2 linked regions of the Callithrix jacchus genome follow. The protein of the gene in region 2 interacts with the protein of the main gene of each other region in a pairwise test. Links are inferred from orthologs where the notes say so. Each region holds a gene or a part of one and is shown on either strand. Other genes may lie near its edges.

Evidence for each region. The genes of interacting proteins can lie anywhere in the genome.
Region 1: the proteins of AP2B1 (region 2) and AP1M2 interact in binary tests that used the Homo sapiens proteins (3 or more experiments, as listed by UniProt). The two-hybrid records come from large-scale screens. The link is inferred for Callithrix jacchus from reciprocal best matches to the Homo sapiens genes AP2B1 and AP1M2.

What each region holds. Positions count from the first base shown.
Region 1 is NC_133523.1:9,755,572-9,759,221, forward strand, and holds part of AP1M2 (AP-1 complex subunit mu-2), read right to left. Parts: intron 2,945-3,650; coding exon 2,796-2,944; intron 2,088-2,795; coding exon 2,016-2,087; intron 132-2,015; coding exon 1-131. UniProt on the Homo sapiens protein: Subunit of clathrin-associated adaptor protein complex 1 that plays a role in protein sorting in the trans-Golgi network (TGN) and endosomes.
Region 2 is NC_133506.1:98,820,495-98,824,244, forward strand, and holds the start of AP2B1 (AP-2 complex subunit beta), read right to left. Parts: upstream 2,741-3,750; 5' UTR 2,692-2,740; intron 2,629-2,691; coding exon of another isoform or gene 2,608-2,628; exon of another isoform or gene 2,446-2,607; intron 1-2,445. UniProt on the Homo sapiens protein: Component of the adaptor protein complex 2 (AP-2). Adaptor protein complexes function in protein transport via transport vesicles in different membrane traffic pathways.

The DNA of each region.
Region 1 (3,650 bases), on a different chromosome or scaffold from region 2:
ACGTTTTTCTCTGGCACATACTTGGCGCTGCCCACACTGGTCTTGAATCTGGGGGAGTCGGCATCACTAGGCACAGGCACAGATATCTCCACACCGTTGGCCACTGACTGTTTCTTAAACTGCCCCTTGGCCTATCAGAGGGGAGAGCATGCAGCATGAAGAATTCGACTGCACACCCTACAAATATTCACCAAGCCCTTTCCTACGCCATCTCAGCCAGGGCTCCACATTCTAAGGTGGCGACATTATCCTGTCCAGTTTTTGTTTGTTTTTTGAGACAGAGTCTCGCTCTGTTGCCCAGGCTGGAGTGTAGTGGCACAATCTCAGCTCACTGCAACCTCTGCCTCCTAGGTTCAAGAGGTTATTCTGCCTCAGAGCCCCCGGCCCCCGCGCCCCCCGGAGTAACTGGGACTACAGGTACACGCCACCATGCCCAGCTAATTGTTTTGTATTTTTAGTAGAGACGAGGTTTCACCATATTAGCCAGGCTGGTCTCGATCTCCTGACCTTGTGATGCACCCACCTCAGCCTCCCAAAGTGCTGGGATTGCAGGAATGAGTACCATGCCTGCCTATCCTGTCCATTTTGCAGACAAGGAAACTGAGGTACACAGAAGTTAAGGCATTTCCCTGCAGATACACAGCCAACAAGTGGTAGAGCCAGGGCCACACCCGTGAGCCACCAGAAGCCCCGCTCTTGGTGCCTTCCATTTGGACAGCACCATACACCTCTGCCTGATTCAAAATGACCCCTTCTGGCCTGCCGCAATGGTTCATGCCTGCAATCCCAGCATTTTGGGAGGCCGAGGGTGAAGCAGGCAGATACCCTGAGGGCAGGAGTTCTACTAAAAATACAAAAATTAGCTGGGCATGGGGGCACTCACCTATAATCCCAGCTACTCCAGAGGCTGAGGCAGGCAAATCACTTGAACTCAGGAGGCAGAGGTTGCAGTGAGCCGAGAACGTGCTACTGCACTCCAGCCTGGGCAACAGAGGGAGATTCCGCCTCAAAACGAACAAACCAACCCCTCAGTCCAGCACAGAAGAGTTGTTTTTTGTTTTGGTTTGGTTTGGTTTGTTTGTTTTTTGAGACAGTCTCACTCTGTCGCCCAGGCTAGAGTGCAGGGGCACAATCTCAGCTCACCGAAACTTCCACCTCCCAGGTTTAAGCCATTCTCCTGCCTCAGCCTCCCAGGTAGCTGGCGTTACAGGCGCGCAGCACCACGCCTGGCTAATTTTTGCATTTTTAGTAGAGACGGGGTTTCACCATGTTGGTCAGGCTAGTCTCGAACTCCTGACCTCATGATTCACTCGCCTTGGCCTCCCAAAGTGCTGGAATTACAGATGTGAGCCACCTTGTCTGGCCTGTTTTGTTGTTGTTGTTTTAGATATGAAGTTTCACTCTTATTGCCCAGACTAGAGTGCAATGGCATGCTCTCGGCTCACCACAACCTCTGCCTTGGAGTTCAAGCGATTCTCCTGCCTCAGCCCCCTGAGTGACTGGGATTAAGGTGAGCGCCACCACACCTGGCTAATATTTGTATTTTTAGTAGAGACAGGGTTTCACCATGTTGGCCAGGCTGGTCTTGAACTTCTGACCTCAGGTGATCTGCCCACCTCGGCCTCCCAAAGTGCTGGGATTACAGGTATGAGCCATGACTCCCAGTGAAGTTTTCCTTTGGTAACTGACTGTTTTTTGGGGGGCTGGGTTCCAGCTCTATCATCCAGGCTAGAGTCCTTGGCTCACTGCAACCACCTCCTCCTCCTGGGTTCAAGCAATCCTCCCACCTTAGCCTCCCAAGTAATTGGGATCACAAGGACTCACCACTATGCCAGGCTAATTGTTGTATTTTTTTTGTAGAAACAGGGTTTTGCCATGTTGCCCAGGTTGGTCTCAAAGTCCTGGGCTTAAGTGATCTGCCTGCTCCAGACTCCCAAAGTGCTGGGATTACAGGCATGAGCCACTGCACCCACCTGAGCTCATGCATTGTTAATAAGCATGCTCCCAAGGCCCACCTTGACCATGATCTCCACACGGCTGTGGGAGAACTTCTCAATGACAGACTCAATCCAGATCAGTGGCTTCACCTGTGGACAAAAGATGGGAGCAGTTGTTGGAGACTCCAGGGTCACTCTCTCTTTTTTTTTTTTTTTGAGACAGAGTCTTGCTCTGTCACCCAGGCTGGAGTGCAGTGGCGCGATCTCGGCTCACTGCAACCTATGCCTCCTGGGTTCAAGTAATTCTGCTGCCTCAGCCTCCTGAGTAGCTAGGACTACAGGTGTGTGCCACCACACCCAGCTAATTTTTGTATTTTTAATAGAGATGGAGTTTCACCATGTTGGCCAGGCTGGTCTTGATCTCTTGACCTCGTGATTCACCCACCTTGGCCTTTCAAAGTGCTGGAATACAGGCATGAGTCACCAAGACCAGCCCCCCCCCCTTTTTTTTTTATGAGAAGAGTCTGGCTTCTTCACCCAGGCTGGAGTACAATGGCGTGATCTCAGCTCACTGCAACCTTCGCTTACCAGGTTCAAGCAATTCTCCTGCCTCACCCTCCCCAGGAGCTGGCATTACAGGCATGTGCCACCATGCCCAGCTAATTTTTGTATTTTTAGTAGAGATGGGGCTTCACCCTGTTGGCCAGGCTGGTCTCAAACTCCTGACCTCAAGTGATTCACCCGCCTCAGCCTCCCAAGGTGCTGGGATTATAGGCGTGAGCCACCACACCTGGCTCAGGGCTACTCTTCAGCCTACCCCATCCTACCCCACCCACACGGGGCTGGACCCTACCTCACCTGGGTGCTGAGGCGGTAGGACATGAGCTCAAAGTCACCATCAGGCGGGATGAAGGAGATGGTGCGGTCGTTGTCAAAGCGTGAGAGCCGCACACACTGGTGGAATTTCACATCCTCCAGCTCCACCGATTTGTTCTTGCTGCCTGAAACTCAGAGTGGAGAGTGCGGAGTGACCCGGGGGAAGAACTCCTATCCCCACCTTCCCTGCCCACCACTATCACCCCATATGGGGAAACCGAGGCCCAGAGAGGCTGCATAAAAACTAGGGTGGAGCTGGAATCTGAACCTTGGATTTTTTTTTTTTTTTTTTGAGACAGGAGTCTCATCCTGTCACCTGGGCTGGAGTGCAGTGACATGATCTCGGCTCACTATCACCTCCGCCTCCCAGGTTCAAGCGATTCTCCTGCCTCAGCTTCCCGAGTAGCTGGAATTACAGTCACCCACCACCACGCACAGCTAATTTTTTGTATTTTTAGTAGAGATGGGGTTTCACTTTGTTGGCCAGGCTGGTCTTAAATGCCTGACCTCGTGACCCACCCTCCTCATCCTCCCAAAGTATTGGGATTACAGGCGTGAGCCACCGTGCCCAGCCATCTAGCTTTTAAATACGATGCTAAGCTGGTCACAGTGGCTCACACCTGTAATCCTAGCACTTTGGGAGGCCAAGGCAGGAGGATCACTTGAGGCCAGGAGTTTAGACCAACCTGGGCAGTATAATGAGATCCCTGTCTCTATAAAAAAATTTAAGACTTAGATGGTACTTGCCTGTGGTCCCAGCTGCTCAAGAGGCTGAGGTAGGAGGATCAACTGAGCCTCGGAAGTCGAGGCTGCAATGAGCTACAATCACTACCACAC
Region 2 (3,750 bases):
TTGAGGCCAGGAGTTTGAGACAAGCCTGGCCAACATGGCAAAACACTGTCTCTACTAAAAATATAAAAATTTGCTGGGCGTGGTGGCACATACATGTAGTACCAGCTACTCTGGGGGTCTGAGGTGTAAGAATCATTTGAACCTGGAAGGCGGAGATTGCAGTGAGCTGAGATAGCGCCCCTGCACTCCAGCCTGGGCTACAGAGTGAGACTCTGTCTCAAGAAAACAAATTAAAAACAAGAATGTGCATATGCCATAAATGTAAAGCTTGATATAAATACTGCATACCCATAAAATCATCAGAGTCATCTTTAAAAAATATAAACTTGATCATATCTCTGGTGTACGAATCCTTCATTGGCTTCCCATTGCTCTTGGACTAAAATCTAGGTTCATTCCCATGGCCTGTGAGTCCCTGCATGGTTTGGCCTATCTACCTCTCTAACACCATTTTATGCCTTTCAGTCACTGCTCATATCCTCATATTTTCACCTTTTGCTAGTTATAATAGCCCTCAAACACACCGAGCTCATTCCCACCTTAGGGTCCTCACAATACTGTTCCTTCTGCCTATTCTTTTTTTTTTTTTTTTTAAGACGGGGTTACACCATGTTGGTCAGGGTGGTCTTGAACTCCCGACCTCAGGTGGTCCACCTGCCTTGGCCTCCAAAGTGTTTGGATTACAGGCGTGAGCCACCACGCCCAGCCCACTTCTGCCTATTCTTTTCCTCAACTCCTTATATGGTTGGCTCCTCAAAATTTAGGTCTTTGTTATGTCCTCAGAAGGGCATTCCGATTAACTAGTCTAAAAGATTGGGCCTCCCAGATCTCTTATTTAACTTGTAAAAAAAATTTTTTTTGAGACATTGTCTGGTTCTGTCACCCAGGCTGGAATGCAGTGGCGCAATCTCAGCTCACTACAACCTCCGCCTCCCAGGTTCAAGCGATTCTCCTCCTCAGCCTCCCGAGTAGCTGGGATTACAGGCACGTGCCACCACACCCGGCTAATTTTTTGTATTTTTAGTCGAGGCAAGGTTTTACCATGTTAGCCAGGATGGTCTTGATCTCATGACCTCGTGATCCACCTGCCTCGGCCTCCCAACGTGCTGGGATTACAAGCATGAGCCACAACTCCTGGCCTACTCCATACACTTATAATAAATTCCGTTTTAGTTTAAATTAGCTTGTTTCTGTTGCTTGTAACCAAAGATCCCTAAGTGACAACAATGTTTAATTTCCTGCTTGAGTTAGTTGATGCTACTTCTCAACTTTGTATTTTTGCTATTCACTTCAAGCCTGTAATCCCAGCCCTTTGGGAGGCCGAGGTGGGTGGATCACGAGGTCAAGAGATCGAGACCATCCTGGTCAACATGGTGAAACCCCGTCTCTACTAAAAATTACAAAAAAAAATTAGCTGGGCATGGTGGCACGTGCCTGTAATCCCAGCTACTCGGGAGGCTGAGGCAGGAGAATTGCTTGAACCCAGGGGGCGGAGGTTGCGGTGAGCCGAGATCACGCCATTGTACTCCAGCCTGGGTAACAAGAGCGAAACTCCGTCTCAAAAAAAAAAAAAAAAAAAAAAAAAAAAAAAAAGAAAAGCTTGTACATAATAGCTACCAATAAACCTAATATGTACCAGGTACTGTATATAAACTATGTCTAGTCTTAAAATTATGTAAGGTAAAAATCTTGTTATCAATATGATGTATTTTGGTCAAGTAAAAAACACTTCTTAAACTATAAATAAGGACAATTTGTAAGGTTTTGTCTCCTATTGGAATAACTAAATCCAAACCTAGTTTTTGAGGGTTCTCATTATGCAAACCAATTATTTTTATAACATAAGGGCCTCTAGGGCAGTAAACAATACCTTCTATTCCCAGCTATTTAGCCCAGAGGTAGTACTTCCCAGAAGGAGGAGAGGATGAATTCTCATCCAATTTCAATAGGGCTGTGTCAGCCAACTCTAGCGAGAAAAAGCTGTATATAACATAAATGCACTTTACAAACCTTAAGGTAAATTACACTCGTTTTGGCATAAAAACGGCATGAAAGGAACCCTTCTGCTAAGTGTCCCCAGTGCATGCTAGTTACAATTCATAAAGCTCCCTCTGCTTTAGCACTGTATTCACATCGCTGGTGTGACATATCAGACTGTGTTTAAGGACGGAGACATTTTTATCCAGTATAGCAAGTGCATGGAGTTATGCCTGAATGTAGCCAAAACCTGGGAGACAGTTAAACTACCAGCTTGGATGAAAATTAACCGTCTCAAGTACTGAGGAACAAACATGAACCTTTCTCAATCCGATCATCTTCCCTTACAATTGGCAGCAATAAATCTAAGGCTTCTATCTCCTGGTATGTTGCTTTAAATCCTTTCTGGAAGGGGAAGACATATAAATTAACCACCATCCGTTCCGCGCGTGTACAGAAAAATCCTTCCTCCCTCTGCCCCTAGCTCCACCGCCTGCAGGAACACAGGGTTCAGCAACGGGCCCAAGCTACTATTTCCGGAGCCAGACGTGTGCGCGGCGCCCCAAACAACTTGTCAAAAAGACCTCTGCAGAGAGACGTTCAGGGCTGTAGCTTTCCACCGAGGCTACCATGCAGACCCAGCTACGAAAGGTAAAACCAAACCAGCGGAAAAGTCACAGCCAAAACCAGCCCGCAGCGGCCCTCTTCACTTACAGCGGAGTGGGAGCGGAAGTCCGGGTGGGTCATAGAGTTCTCTAGTTCTGGTTTCCGGGCCGCATTCGGGACTAGAGCGCCTCTCTTCCCGCAGGCGTCCCTGAAGTCCTGGTGGTTTCTATTTCCGGGTGCCTCTTCTGTCATAAAGCGGAGACCTCTCTTCAAACGTGGCGTCGTGGGTTCTTTGCGCCTCGCCTGGAGTCAGCGAGCAAGGACGAGCGCTGGCGAGGATACTCAAAGTCAACAGCTGAAGCCAGTCCTCGTGTCCCGGGCTCACACTGGCACGACTGCATCCTCAGAGTCGGTTGGCTTTTGAGCTCTCACGATTGAGGAGGATTTCTCGTTCGCAACTCCAGGACTGCAGCTCCGGAGGATCGCGTTCCTTCCCCCATACCTGTCCCCTCAGTCACGCCCGGCCCTGAGATGCAGCATTTGACAAGTTACCCCCTCACCACATACCACTTCTACCCACGTCCGAGTTCACTTTGTTGTTAACCTTCTTGAGACTCCCCTCCGCCTCCAGAACAGGTCTTTTTCCTAGTTCATTTTTGCCCATAAAATTGAGTTTCGAGTTTCAGATATCATCCAGAAAGTTTACCTTTAAGACTGAGCACCCATCTGATACCCTTCCTCTCAAAAAAGTTCATGCTCACGAGAGAGTTCGTGGGAAAAGCGAAAGCCAATCAACACAGGAAACTATGGCTGAGCACGGGGCTCACATCACAACTGCTTCTGTGGCCGATGACCAGCCATCCATCTTCGAGGTGGTAGCACAGGACAGTTTAATGACAGCAGTGAGACCTGCTCTTCAGCATGTGGTCAAGGTAAGGTATTAATTCTTGGATTTTAGGGACAACTGGGTAAAAACCAAAGCAATAATTTGTGCTTATTTGGTAGCCTAGCGTTTGAAATAGCCAATTTGCAAATAACTCGTATGCAATGACTTACAGGTTATTGAGTCTGTATTATGTGTAGAGACCTGTACTGAATACCCAACATTTCAGGGAGGTTAGGGCAGACTCCAAAATAAGGGACTTATTTAAGACAGAATGTGTAGAC